Linked DNA regions of Rhinolophus ferrumequinum. The protein of the gene in region 2 interacts with the protein of the main gene of each other region in a pairwise test. Links are inferred from orthologs where the notes say so. Each region holds a gene or a part of one and is shown on either strand. Other genes may lie near its edges.

What was found. The genes of interacting proteins can lie anywhere in the genome.
Region 1: the proteins of DISC1 (region 2) and GPRASP2 interact in a two-hybrid assay, tested with the Homo sapiens proteins (2 studies listed by BioGRID and IntAct). The link is inferred for Rhinolophus ferrumequinum from reciprocal best matches to the Homo sapiens genes DISC1 and GPRASP2.

Annotation. Positions count from the first base shown.
Region 1 is NC_046284.1:52,045,943-52,053,381, forward strand, and holds the start of GPRASP2 (G-protein coupled receptor-associated sorting protein 2), read right to left. Parts: upstream 3,020-7,439; 5' UTR 2,880-3,019; intron 2,542-2,879; 5' UTR 2,456-2,541; intron 1,902-2,455; 5' UTR 1,834-1,901; intron 1,749-1,833; 5' UTR 1,688-1,748; intron 1,487-1,687; 5' UTR 1,427-1,486; intron 1,121-1,426; 5' UTR 816-1,120; coding exon 1-815. UniProt on the Homo sapiens protein: May play a role in regulation of a variety of G-protein coupled receptors.
Region 2 is NC_046310.1:25,365,198-25,372,619, reverse strand, and holds the start of DISC1 (disrupted in schizophrenia 1 protein), read left to right. Parts: upstream 1-4,420; 5' UTR 4,421-4,617; coding exon 4,618-4,675; intron 4,676-7,422. UniProt on the Homo sapiens protein: Involved in the regulation of multiple aspects of embryonic and adult neurogenesis. Required for neural progenitor proliferation in the ventrical/subventrical zone during embryonic brain development and in the adult dentate gyrus of the hippocampus.

The DNA.
Region 1 (7,439 bases), on a different chromosome or scaffold from region 2:
GGCCTAGATCTGGTGTTAGGCTGATATTTAGCCCTGTGCCTGGACCTGGTATTGGACTCTTCCCTGGGCCACGATCTGATACTGGCCTCTTCTCTAGCCCAGAAGGAAGACATCGTAGAGGTCTCATCTGCTGACCAGAATCCAGATTCATTAGAGCCCTCCGCTCTGGCCCTGGGCCTGGGATAGCACCAAGACCCAGTATCAGTTTCCTCCCCTGATCCAAACCAGGGTTGGATTCCCATCTGACCCTGAGAACCAGGAAAGATCTCAGCATCCACCCTGAGCTGTTCCCTATCTACAGATAGGGACATAGGTTTAGCACCTGACCCACACTCAGTACTGAGCAGTGGCCAGGCTTCTGCATTGGTCTGGGGCATGCCCTCTGTTTGGGACATTGCCTGAGCCCCAAACTCAGTCTGGGCCCAAGCCTGGGCTTCTTCCTTGTGCCTTGGCCCAGTGATTGCCTTGGCCTCAGTTTTAGAACATGCCCTACCTACTGCCCTGGCCTCTGTTTTTGGCCTTGCCCCAGACATTCTCTGGGCTTCACTTCTGGACCTTGCCACAGCCATTACTTGGGAATCAGTTTGGAGCCCTGACCCAGCCATCACCTGGGACTCCGTTTCAGGCGTTGCCCCATTCATAGCCTTGGATGCAGTTTTGGGCCTTGCCCCAGGCATTACCTGGGCCTGGGTCCTAACCTTGGGTCTGACCACCATCGGGACTTCGTTCTCTCTCTCAGCCCCACCTGCAACCTCTTCTCTAGCCTTCTTTTCAGCCTTGGCCTGGGCACCAGGCTCAATCTCAGCCCCAGTCATAATACCAGTTACAGAGAAGAGGCAGTTAAATACCAGTAACACAGTCCCCGCCTCTACCACAATTCTGTATCTTCACACTGATCTTCCAGTGATTCAGGCGATACAATTGGAAGAGAGTCAATCACCAGTCCAGCAGCCAACCAGCCTCCTTCCCAAGACCAGCCTCAGCCAATATCACAGACAGAGTGCCAAAGAGGCACAACCAAGCAGGGGGAGGATGGATGGTTCCCAAGTGGGTGCAGACCTGTTGAGGGTGGTGGTCAGCAGCAATTCCAGCACCATCAGAGATGCCACTGGAGGTGGATCTAGGGAGAGAGAAGGACATGGGGCCTTGAGCCTCTTGGAACTGTGTCACTCCATGTAGAGACTCACACAGAGACTGGACCTTGAATTCCTGGTGGAGCTGTTGGGCCATTAGAAAGTCTCTCTGTCACATTCATTTTGCCCACAACTGCCACACTATTTGGCCTGCCACCAAACAGGTGTGAGATTTGTGGGAAAGTATGTTGGCAATGAGAGAGGTTGAGGAGTCCTGAAACTAGACCCTAATTACTGTTGTGACTGCACTGGTCTCCACTATCCGACCCGAAGTTTACCCATCTCATACCAACCTTCTCTGATGTGGTGCAATTTCCCACTCCGTGCTTCATTCCAGGGGTACCAATTACACCCTAGAGCAGAAGGGTGTTCCATGGACAAGCAAACGCACAGGAAAAAATGGAGTCTGAGGGTTTGGTTGACAGGCAGACACCCTGACCCCTGATGCAAATATCTCTCTTTCTGTTTAAGGGTCCAATTTGTCTAACGTTTCCTGTCTCCTGGTCCCTGATCTCAGGTCTTCTCCTCCGATTCACAGCCCAATTCGCACCTACCCCAATATTCGTAATATCTCCTGCAGGAAATGGACAAGGAATGCTGGGACAGTGTGCAAATCTGGCAGAGAGCAGGAGAGGTGAATCAAAGACCTGCCATGATCTTACTCTGTCGCTATCCCCTGCATTTCCCCCTTCACACCAACCTCCAGAGAATTGAGCCAGTCTCTTCCTCCTTTCCTTCCTTGCAGAAGTGACCAGTCTTAAAGTAAGCCTAGGGACAAACGGATGAAAAGAAAGACAGTCAGAAGACCATGGTAACAACTGAGCACTTGGTGGACAGACCAACACCAATGATGGGAGTCCACATGTGATCTGTCTTTCAACATTTAAGGTCTTCTAGGTAGAACGTTCTCGTTTTACTAAGGCCCTCTGTTTCAGGGTTCCAGATAACGACATCTTTTCTTGACGTCAGTCTTCTCATTGCTGCCGTATTCCAATTCTGAGGATTCACCACTAGGTGCACCACATCCCTTTGCCTTGGGCAGCATAAAATGGGGGAAGGGAGCCTGCATATTATAGAAAACAGGTTGTGCAGTGGTACTTGTAACTGTGACTTCCGTCTCACCCTCGCCTCCGATCCCATCTTTTCCTACCCCCAGTTAGGGATGGAGGTAAGGGAGGAAGCCAAGGGAAGTGCCTAGGAACTGGTACGGAGGGAAATTTTAGGATTTATTCCTGGATGCCTAACCCGCTCTGGTCATAGTCACCCAACCCCAATTCGTGTCTCCAGTCAATGGCGGCTGCCCACCCCCCATCCCCACACACCTCCAGAAATCCAGGCTATTTTCCTGCTCCAACTTTTTCTCAAGCAGCTCCGCAGCAGATGCACCCCGCCACCTGAAATCGCCAACCTACCACGCAGACGGGAGACTTTGGCACCAAAGAGGCGCCTGTGGGAAGGGACAGCCCCCAGGACGCGGGGCCCAACAGACCCTTTCCAGAATCAGGGCCCGGAATAGCCAACGCCCCCGCCCCGGCGCCCCCATCTCTGCTCCGGCTCCACCATTTCTCCCGCACCAGCCTCCCCCACAGCCATCTCCGGGAAAGCTGGCTGTGGAGAGGCCGGCGTGGATAGCTTCCCCCAGGAGCCCAGGGAGCATCTGAGGCCACCCCTGGGCCCTGGACCCTGGGTCCGGCCCGCACCCGTCGCCGCCGCAACCTCAGCGCAGGGCTCCCCGGCGTTGCGCACCTCTCTCAGGAACCGGCTTCGACCCTGTAGCCGCCTCCGCCTCTTCGCTGGGCTGCCTGGGACTGGGCGCGGGTGTAAGCTGGTCGAGAGTGTGGACCCACCCCGCCCCATGCACCCCCACTTGCCTTTCCAGGCTCGGGGCCCGGGTGGCCGGCCTCCCCTCCTCTCGGACCTCCTCGGAGTCCCACCGCCTTGCGCGCGCATCAAATTGCAAAGAGGCGTCCCGCCCTTCGCTCCGCTGCACCAAACACGGCAGGGGGTGCGCAGGATGCGGCACGAACCGCTGGCTGGGGGTGTAGGGAAAGCGGGGCGGAGGGAGACCGGACGAATGGGCTCGACGACCCCTCCCCTGCCAGACGCCCCGCAGTTCCGACCCGGAGGGGGCGGGGCCGGGAAGAGCCCCAGCGCATGGGGCGAATTAACGCCCGCCAATCGGGCTCTAAGGACCTCCGCGGCCCCCTGCCGGGTACCCCCTACAACATTTCCGGTTCTACAATCTACGGGCAGCGCGGGCGGGGGTGGGGGAGCATGTTCGCTAGGTCAGGAGCAGCTTCGCTGCGTGTGGATACAAAGCGCCCCTAGGTGTATATGAACCCCCAGAGTGCTGGGTTCTACCCACCTCCCTCCTGCCGTCTCACTTCTGGACGCTGCTGGGAGAGGGGCTGTGAGAATGCTGCCCGGATGGGGAGAGGCCATCTAAAGCTAGACCGACCCTGAAGTCCTGAGGTGCCCCCCCAAGTTCTTTCATTGTTTGGGGGGTCAGGGAGGACAGGAAGTGGTGGGGTCTGCCATGGAGGCCTCACCACTGCCCCTCTTCTAAAGGCAGACCTAGACCTCTAACCCTAGGAGAGAATCCACTGCTCTGTACCCAGATTCATCCTTGCTGCCACACTGCTTTTTTTCACATTCGAAATAGTAACACGTGTTGCCATTTTGTGGTCCCCACAGTGCCCTAGAAAGAGGGCCTTTCCCTGTCTGGACCCGCACCGGGTCATAGAATTCTCCCTGTGTGTGGCCTCACATCCAAGTAAGTGTCAGGCATCAGATAGGGTCGCTCCGGGTTCCTCTTCCTCTGTTCTATCAAGTCTTGTCTTACAATCCCATCCAAGCTCTCATGATTTTTGGCACTGTGGAAATGTGGCAGGGATTAGAAGCATTTTAGGTCTCGGCCACTTGCCGTAAGCACCTATCCAGTTTGCCCAGTCATTCCTTGGAGAAAGCTGCATCATGCACACACTTCCCCAAGACAGCCCTGGTGGGGTTTGTTTTTTTGTTTTTGTATTTTTTTTTAGGAATTAGAAATATCTTCATGAACTGACATGGTAAAATCACAAAAGCATATTTCTAAATAAAAAAGAATGGTACAAAGTAATAAATATGTTACGGTAACATTTGTGTAAAAAGGTGAGAATTTTATGTGTAAAATTTCTCTGGAAGGATACTAAAACTGATACAACTTTAGGATACTAAAGTTGATTCTAGGGAAGTAAGGTGACTGGGAAAAAGAGTGGGAAGGAGAGAATCTTTTTTTTTAATTATTTTTTAAATTTATTGGGGTGACAATTGTTAGTAAAAGGAGAGGATCTTTTAAACGTTTAAAATTAGAACCACAGGATGTTACCTAATCAAAAATAAGAAAATAAAAACGAAAGGGCGGTCAGATACTAGGTTAAAAGAAAAAATATATAAGAGGTATCATTCATGTCATCCATCCTTACCTCTAGATCAAAGATGAAATGCTACTGGAGTCTTTTTGATTTTGGTACAGTGAGTGGTTTCAGACCGTGATTTAGTTTAAAAATCTAAAGTGCCGAGATTTGAGAATGCCAAGAACAATTTCCTAATATAAAAAAAGGGAAGAATGCTATACGATTAATGTATTTCTTGGTTCAGGTCTTCCTTAGGAAGAGAAATGCAGGAACAAAATAAAAACCTAAAGGTGGATGGAAACTGGTCATAGAAAACCAGAAGACAGCATCTTTCAGGAAAGAAGTATAAAAATTAAAGAACATCAGCTCAGAAAAGTAGGTTTTTCAGAGGCTTGGGGAACTGGTAGGATTAATACAATGGAAAGAATATATAAAAATACAGTTACCCAAATTAACTTGGATGCTTTTTAAATAGGCATCTCTGTGGGTACAAAGTTTACCAACATACAGGAAAGATAACAAGATACCAGACTGGCTAAACTCTGAATTTTAAGGTAACAAAATGGAAACAAGTCAAAAAGAAAAAATCAGGCCAGATTATTGAATTGGAAGGTAGAGAAACAGTATAGTTGAATAAGGTTAAAAAAGTTAACTCTAATACAGAAAATAAAAACAGCCAATCAAACCAACAGGGTTTTTTTTTTGTCAGCATCTACTAAATGTTCAGTATTATGCTGTACAACTTTTCTTTAAGTTTGCTTTTGAGTTTTTCAAGAGCATATAAAATTGTAAATTAGGAAATCCAAGAAAAGCGTTTTTCCCAGATAATAAAGAGAAAACATCATAATCAATAACCACAAAAAGGCAATAACTTTTACGGTTCACTTTACCTCTTTTACGAACCTCCAACCCTCATTAATCGCCTCTTTTTAATGCCAAAGTCAACTGTTGTTAACCAATATGAAGTCCATAGGCAACACTGGGTAGGAAATAAAACAAGGGAAGAAAAGGACCCTAAAGTGTTTTAAAAAGTAAGATGTATCCAAAAACCATATGAGGACTGGCATCTTAGGAAATGTTAAAAGATTTCTATAAATAACAATAATAGCTAATATTTGAGTGCTATATACCATGAATTTTATAATATTCTGGGCACTGTGCCAAGTACTTTGCATAAATTAACTTATTCCTCCTCATAAAACCTAAGGGACAAAAAACATATATATATATATATATATATTTATGTAATTTTATATATATATATATGATTTAACAAATGACAACAAGGGTGCTAGAAGTTACAGGAGTTATCCAAGGTCACACGGCATCTTTTTTTTTTTAATTAAAGTTTAGTAAAGTTACATAGATTTCAGGTATACAATTATGTATTACATCATCTATAAATCACATTGTGTGTTCACCACCCAGGTTCAGTTCTCCTTCTATCACCATATATTTGATCCCCTTTACCTTCATCCACCACCCCCGCCCTCACCAACTGATAACCACTAAACTATTGTCTGTGTCTATGAGTTTTTGTTTCTCATTTGTTTGTCTTGTTCTTTTGTTGTTTTTGGTTTATATACCATATATCACTGAAATCATATGGTTCTCTGCTTTTTCAATCTGACTTATTTCGCTTAGCATTATAACCTCAAGGTCCATCCATGTTGTCACAAATGGTCCTATTTCATCTTTTCTTACCGCCGAATACTATTCTATTGTGTATATATACCACAACTTCTTTATCCATTCATCTATTGAAGGACATTTTGATTGTTTCCATATCTTGGCCACCGTAAATAAAGCTGCAATGAACACTGGAGCACACGTGTCTTTATGCATAAATGTTTTCAGATTCTTTTGGTAGATACCCAGTAGAGGGATTGCTGGGTCATATGGTAATTCTATTCGTAATTTTTTGAGGAACCTCCACACTGCCTTCCATAGCGGCTGCACCAGTTTGCATTCCCACCAACAGTGTATGAGGGTTCCTTTTTCTCCACGGCCTCTCCAACACTTGTTACTATTTTTCTTGTTGATGATAGCCATTCTGACTGGGGTGAGGTGATATCTCATTGTGGTTTTTATTTGCATTTCTCTGATGATTAGTGATGTTGAGCATTTCTTCATATGTCTATTTGCCATTTGTATGTCCTCTTTGGAGAAATGTCTCTTCAGGTCGTCTACCCATTTTTCAATTGGGTTGTTTGTTTTTTTGTTGTTGAGTTTCATGAGCTCCTTGTATATTTTGGATATTAGCCCCTTATCAGAGGCACTGTTTGAAAAAATCTCCCATTCAGTTGGTTGCCTCTTTATTTTGTTGATGGTTTCTTTGCTGTGCAGAAGCTTTTAAGTTTCATATAGTCCCATTCACTTGTTTCAGCTTTTACTTCCCTTGACTTTGGAGTCAAATTCATAAAATGCTCTTTGAACCCAAAGGTCCATAAGTTTAGTACCTATGTTTTCTTCTATGCAGTTTATTGTGTCAAGACTTATGCTTAAGTATTTGATCCATTTTGAATTAGTTTTGGTACATTGTGACAGATAGCAGTCTAGTTTCGTTCTTTTGCACGTGGCTTTCCAATTCTCCCAGCACCATTTATTGAAGAGGCTGTCTTTCCTCTATTGTATGTTTTTAGCTTCCTTGTCAAAAATTCTCTGTCCATATTTATGTGGTTTTTTTCTGCATTCTCAATTCTATTCCATTGGTCTATCTATGTGTCTGTTTTCCTGCCAATACCATGCTGTTTTGATTACTGTTGCCCTGTAGTACAAGCTAAAGTCAGGGAGTGTGATACCTCCAGCATTGTTCTTTTTTCTTAAGATTGCTTTGGCTATTCGGGGTCTTTTGTGGTTCCAAACAAATCTGATGATTTTTTGTTCTATTTCTTTAAAAAATGCCATTGGG
Region 2 (7,422 bases):
TTCAGAAGTTGCCTCTCATCTTCCTAGAGCAGTGGCTCCATGATGCCTGTGGACTCCCCCAGAGTCCCCTGTATCCTCACCAATATTCTTTTCACTTAAATTAAAGTCTACTGGTTTTGTTGAGTTGCAATGAAAAGAGTCCTGATTAATACGGCATTGCGCTGGAATGAGAGCTGTCAGAAAACTAAAGAAAGACTTGTGTAGTAGCCATGCCAGAGATCTGCAATGAGTAGGTCTGTAAGTGGGCGTTCCATTGGAGAAGCAGAACCACTGTGAGTTGTGCATAAGGCACATATTATAGAAGTTAGGCCTTTCACAATTGTGGGAGATGCTGCGGAAGCAAAAGTCTAAAGAGGGTGGTTGAAGAATCTGAGAAAGATCTTTAACCAGAATGACATGGGTGGCTGAGCTGGAGCTGCAGGAAACCTGGAAGCTACGCGTCTCCAGCTGAGAGAGTAGGGCTGTGAAAGGCGCTGGTGTAGAGGTTGTGGAAGGAAGGTTGCTGCCCTGCGGGCGTGCAGTCCAGCATCTGGTGGAGAGCCTGGGTTGTCAGGTGGCGGTCTCAACTTCCAGTTAAATGGAATCATTGTGTGCCTGTTGGTGGAAGCATCCCTCCCTTTGGAACCAATACCTCTAGGCCAGCAGGACATAAAGTTGTGGGAACAGGAAGCAAAACTTTTGCGAGTGGATCATGAGGGCTAAGAGTGAGTGGTCCACTCCCATCTCCATCTCTTGGTTCCTGGACCCCTGAATCCTGGCTATGGGAGAAACAGCACCTTATATTGGACAGTGATTCAGAGCATGTACAGGGAGCCTCCTGCAAGGTATTGCGCCTAGCTGGCACTGTGACTGAGTCCTCAAAAGGCCATTCCATTGTTCTATCAAACCACTTGCTCAGGAAATTAGGGAACATGGTAAGACCAGTGAATTTTGTGAGCATAGGTCCATCACTACACTTCCTTCACTGTGAAGTGAGTTTCTTGATCAGAAACAATGCTGTGTGGATAAGGCATTCCGTAAGTCCATGGATGGTAGTTTTGGCCAAAGCGTTGTGTGTAGAGAGAGAAAATCTGTACTCAGTCATTAGTGTCAGTTCCAGTAAGAACAGAACGCTGCCCTTCCATGATGGAAGTGTTCTCATGGAATCAACCTGCCACCACGCAGCAAACTGGCTGGTCACCCTGGGCAATGGTGCCATGCTGCTGGTCTCAGCTGCTGACAGATTGGACACGCAGCAGTGGCCATAGTCAGGTTGGCCTTGTGAGTGGAATGTGTGTAGCTGAGCCCATGCATCACTCCTGTCCCTGCCACCATGGCCACTTGTTCTTGAGCCCATTGGGCAGTGTCAGGACTGGCTGGGGAAAGAGACTGGTACCCACAGGACAGGTCATCCTTCTGCTTAAAACCCTCCTCTGCTGAGTCACCCCTTGGTGAACATTCACAAGGGACACAAATATCCTCAGGTTGTTTTGCCCAGTCAGAGAGGTCTATCCACACGCCTCTTCCTCAAATCTCCTTGTCACCAGTTTTCCGATCATGTTCCTTTCAAACTCCTGACCATCCAGCCACATTAGCCATAGTCCATGAACTGTCACACACTTGTACCTCTGGCTATTTTTTCTTTCAAGCAAACCAAACAACAAGGTTCACTGCTCCAAGATCTACCCACTGGGAGGGTTCTCCTTTACTACGGTCTTTCAGGGATGTCCCAGAAAGGGGCTGCAGTGCTGTGGCCGTCCACTCTTGGGTGGCGCCTGATTATTGTGCGGGACCATTTGTAAACTGCGCCTGCCTTTTCTCTTCCTCAATCGACTAGTCATAGGGACCTCCCCGTGAGGCCACAGGTGCAGGCTGGGCAAAAGAAGGTGATGTAGCAGGAGTGGAGACCGTGGGCATGTGGGCCACGTCCTTCTGCAACTTACTTGTGACTTCAGGGTCTGCTTGAGCCTGATCTCGTATCTACCGCTTCTATTTGATGATAGAGGGCCACTGCGCATGCCTAAGTTTACCACTTTGGGTCAGGCAGCACCCAGTTCATACTGGGCAGCCCAGGTAGCATGGTAACGTGGTGGTACATGGTTAAAAGTTCATGGCTAACAGTCTCTAAATGAGAGTAGTTATCCACAGAGGCTTTGCTCCAAAATCCTAAGGGCCTGTGATATGATTCACACATACGGGCCTGACAAATCCTCCCTTAGCGTCTCTAGTACCCCTGACACTTCAAGCACCACTGGATCTGCTGGGTCCTCTGCCCCAAAAGGCAGAGCAGCTGGCATGGCAGCCAGACCTGCTGCAGAGCCTTCTCTTATTCTGGGCCCCACTCAACACCAGCAGCTTTTCAGGTCGCTTGGTGAATGGACTTGAGTAGCTCACCCAGGTGAGGAATATGTTGCTACCAAAACCCACGGGGCACCATTAGCCGTTGTTCTTCCTTTTTTTGGTTGTAGGCAGGGCACATACAACAACTTATACTTCACCTTAGAAGGGCTGCCCCACACCACTCAACCACTAGAAAATCCACTGGCATGGAGGCCCCTAAATTCTTGTCAGACTTATTTTCCACCCTCTGACATACAAATGTCTCACCAATCAGCCTAGAGTAGTTATTACTTCGTGCTGACTCCGTCCAATCAGAATAATGTCATTAATGTGACAGACCAGTGTGAAGTCTTGTGGAAGGGAAGGCGATAAGGTCTTGCTTGACTAAATGATGACCTAGGGCTGGAGAGTTGTGGCACCCCGGAGGTAGGATGGTAAAAGTGTATTGCTGGTCTTGCCAGCTGAAAGAAAGCTGCTTTTCTGGTGGCCTAATAGGTAGGGAAAGAAACATTTGCTAGATCAATAGCTGCACACCAGGTATGAGGGGAGGTGTTCATTTGCTCACACAGTGAAACCACATCTGGAGTAGCACTTGCAATCTGGTTAAGTTGATGACAACCCACTGTCATTCTCCAGGAATCATGTGTGTCCTGCACAGGCCACACAGACAAGTTGAGCGGGGATGTAGTGGGGATCACCACCCTGCGTCCTCCACGTCCTTGACGGTGGCACCAGTCTCTTCAGTCCCTCTTGGAATGTAGGATTTCTTTTGGTTGAGTCTTTTCCTAGGTGAAGGCAGTTGTAACGGCTTCACTTTGTCTTTCTCACCACAATAGCCCCTACTCCACAGGTCAGGGGACCAATTTGGGGATTCTGCCAGTTGCTCAGTACTATCCAATTATGCACTCTGGAATGGGGAAGTAACCACAGGATGGGTGCAGGGACCCCCTGTGAGACGAACCTGAGCTCAAACTCCTGTGAACACCTGACCTCCATAAGGCCCGACTGACTGGTGGGCCACAGGGATGTTTTGGGTCTCCTGGAATTAGTGTCAGTTCAGAGCCAATGTCTGGTAATTCTTGAAAAGTCTGAGTAATTCCTTTTTCTCCAATGCACAGCCACCCTGGTAAAAGGCCACAACCCTTTGGGGAAGGCTAGAGAAGAGATTAACAGTGTAAATTTTTGGCAGTGTCTTTCCTCAAGGAGGCCAACATTTCCATTAATTAATTTTTGGTCTGTAAACTGACTCTAGTCTGGGAACTGATTGAAGGGCCGAATCTCTCTGTGTGGGAATTCAAGTCAGGCTTTCATTCACTTGACCTAGAACTTTTCTGCTTACACAGACTAAGTACGAGCTAGTAGATTTCCCAGCTGTTTGACTTCTAGGAGCAGCATAGACTGGCTTGCCAACTTGGCCGGTCTGCAGGAGTCACCAATCTGATGGCTGCTTTGACTCTGCCATCCATTACAGACACCATGTCCCCCTTGCCTTTGGTGATTCATTGCCACCATTTGGCCCCTGCCATCCTGGAACCAATTATCCCCACTGCATTTAAGGATTCCAGTTCAGAGGCCACAGTTTCCACTGTAATTTCTGACCTACAGAGAAGAGTGACCAAGGGTGCTGGGCCACAAGTTATTTCTCAGAGTCCTGGTGAAGGGTGTGTGGTCCGCACCCTCCTGGAGTGGGTAAGCAGTCTTACTTACATGATAACCCCTCTAACATTCCAACTCCCCAGGCCTCTGACACTTCCTCTACAGCATACCACGGCAGTGCTGGCATTGCCACTTCATGTGGTAGGTCACCTCTTGCTCCAGGTTTCAGTCAACTACCCATCTTGTAAAAACCAGTCCCTCTCGTCCCCTCCTCTCTTCCGTCCACCCTTTGGTCACTTCCCTAATCTCGCATCTGGGAGGCGCCCTGTACACCCACCCGGAAGGCCTCCCGTCGCTCCTTCCCTGGACACCGGTTCCCCCACCGCACTTCCCCTCTGGTCGTCGTCCAGAAATGAGCCGGAGTGAACAGCAAACTTGCAGCGTCCGGAGACAGGCTGTGGGCCCACCGGCCCCGCCCCAGGCGCGCGCGTGTGTGCGCGCGTGCGTGCGTGTGTGCGCGCCCGTGTGAAAGGAAAGGAGGCTGGAAACGGAGCCGCAGGGCCAGCGGGGGAGGGGGACGCCGCCGGCCCGCGCGCCCGCCCCCTCCCCACTTCCCGTCCCTCCCGGCGCTCGCGCCCCGGCGCTGGCCTCGGGCGCACAGAGCCGCCCGCCGCCGCGGAGCTGGAGGATCCGGCGGGACACATGCGGGCCGGGGGACCCCAGGGCGCCCCGGCGGGTGGCGGCGGGGGCCACCGCGCAGGTAGGTCGCTGTCAGCGCGGCTGGGCGGGGCCGGGGTCCGGGATCCGGGCGGGGAGGGCGCGCGCCGCCCCCTGGAAACCGTGTAGGTCTGAGCTGTGCCTCTGTTAGCACCTTGGCTTCGGTGCACCCCTTTCGAGGAGAGGGAAACTGAGGCAGGGCACGTGGCGCGCGGAGTTGGGAGAGAAGGGGGGTCTGGGACGACCAGCCCACGCCGAACTGAGCCAGGTGGGTGCTGAGACCCTGGCGAGAGGCACGTCCGACACGCCCCCGTGGCGGGTACTGGTGGGCAAGGAAGGCGGCAGGGGCGTGCGGGAATTTGGATCAGACCCGGGACCCCGCGCCGCCCGAGCCTCCCGGGGCCGTGCGCCCTCACCGTCCACCCGAGGGGCAGGGCCCGTCCGGCTCGCCCTCGGCCCCAGACCCACTTCTGACTCGGCGACGGTAACCCGCACCGGGCGCAGGAGACAGGGCCGGGTCACGCTGTCAACTTTGCGTTGACACTGAGGCCAGTAAGGGGATGGTTGCTTTTCAAGAATGACGGGACGTCTCCTACCATCTCACCGTTAACACGTATGCAAAGGAACCTGAGACTTGCGGCAGACAATGAGATTTGGCGTCCCGAGCGCTCCTCTGCTGTCCTTGCTAGGTAACTTCAGACACATCCCTTAGCCGCTCCCTTATCCCTTATCCTCGGTTTCCTGAGACGTGTGAGAACACGGGTGACCCTGTCCCATAGGTCTGGTGTGTATGGAAGCACTTTGCAGAATGTATGGCCATTTGGAAAATGGGATTTGGATAATACTAGAGCCCTAAGATGATTGGGGTTTGGGGACAGTCAGCCTGCATCTCAATCCTGGATGTAGTCGTGCCTCAGTTTCCCCATTTGTAAAATGGGGACAATGACAGTTCCTACCACATAGAGTTGTTGTGTGTTTTAAATGTGTCTGGATGTGACACATTAGTCAAGTGCCTGAGAGAAAGGGTAAGTTCTAAGTAACCTTAGTTACTATTTTTACTAAGCCAAATCTAAATAATTTGGGATGATACGGAAATACCAGTTTGATTTGATGAAAGTATGATTAGCAGAGTGTTTTAAAAGAAATTTCATTTTATTCCATTCAGGCATAGCACAGGAAGTCCTTTGAGGTTCAGTTGAGAAATCTGTCACTGAGTGAAAAGATGCCTGGATTGGCTTTCTGAGCTCTGTGACCTTGAGCCTCAGTTTCCTCATCTGTTTACAAAGAAGATAAAAGAAAAATGGGGAGAGTAATTACGGCTTTTGGTACTGATAGAGCTGCCTAGGATCCGGTGAGGTTAGAGGTGTGAAAGCACCCTGAAGTGAGTCACTGCTTCCAGGAGGGAATGTTAACATTGGCAAGTTTGCAGAGTTTACAAGGTGCTAGGGAATTCCTTGGATGACACCCTCCCCAAACCTTTGTGAGATAGGGATTTATAATCCTCATTCCCCATCCCCCAAAGCTGAGATTCAGGATTACTGCTTCCCGGCACCCCCTCCCCGCCCCCCAGGTCACCTAACGATTAAGGATAGAGTCAGGAGTTCTGGCAGGTGTGGCATCAAGTGCATTTCCCAAGTGCAGCTGCTGACAACTATATGCCACGTACCTTGTTTCATGGTGCTTCACTTTATTGCGCTTCACAGGGTGGCCGATTTTTACTAACTGAAAGCAAGACCTTCAGAGTCTGGCCTGCTTATTTTACAGGTGTGAAAAGTGAGGGATACAGCAGGAGACCGCGTATTAGAGTCTGAGTCCTCTTACTTGGAGCTGCTTCCATCAAGCCACGCTTTATTCCATAGTCCTGCGTAATTCATCCTGCTTAAGAAACATGAGGTGAATGGAACCAAATCCTTTCGATTTATTTTCTTGAGCCATCATGGCTCTTAAAAACTTAAAATTTCAAGCAGTTCCTTTTGTCTGTCCATTCGTTCATTGACTGTTCATTTGTTCAGCATTTATAGAGTACCTCCTTGGCTCTAATTAGAATTAGAGCCACACACTGGTACTGTATCAATTTTTGAGTTAACTTAGAGGGAAACTTGCTAAAAAAAAAGTTGTTGAACAGGCCGCCTAGAAAGGCAGTGAGCTTTTTGCCATTGGAAACATTTGAGTTAGTGTTGGGTGACACTGTGGGGAATTTAGTGGGGGGTCTGCCCGTGGGGAGGGGCTGCATGGGCCGACATGTGGGAACCCTTCCAGCTGCGGTATTCTGTGACGTGTGTCCTGGAGATTGGGATTGTCCCGGATTTGAGCTACTGTGTACATTTCCTCCCACTGCTCTTTGGGGTTTCCCATTTTGCCTCCTCCCCTAACCCAGGTGGTTCCATTTCTAGAGGTCCAGACAGCTCCCTGCAGTCAGCTGCCTGAATGCGGTAGGTGCTTTAACTCCCCTGGGTTCTACATATCTAGGGTTGATATTAATCACGAACATGATCAAGTTCATTCAGGAGAACAAATTGACCAGGAATAGAAATGTTCATTTTGACAGGTGGCCCTGCATGGAGGCTAATTACTTTCACAGGTTGAAAGGTGACATATCAAGTTTTGTGAGTGAATTGTGTTCGGAATGTGGGATCTGAGTTTAAATTTAGTTTTGAGACATGCACAGCAACCTAACTTTTCTTTTTCATACCTGTTGTCTCTGAATTTGTGAGTGGATTGATAATATGATTTGGCATAATTATTAGGTGTTATTTTTGACACTGGAGAGTATGTGTCTTGCATTTGTAA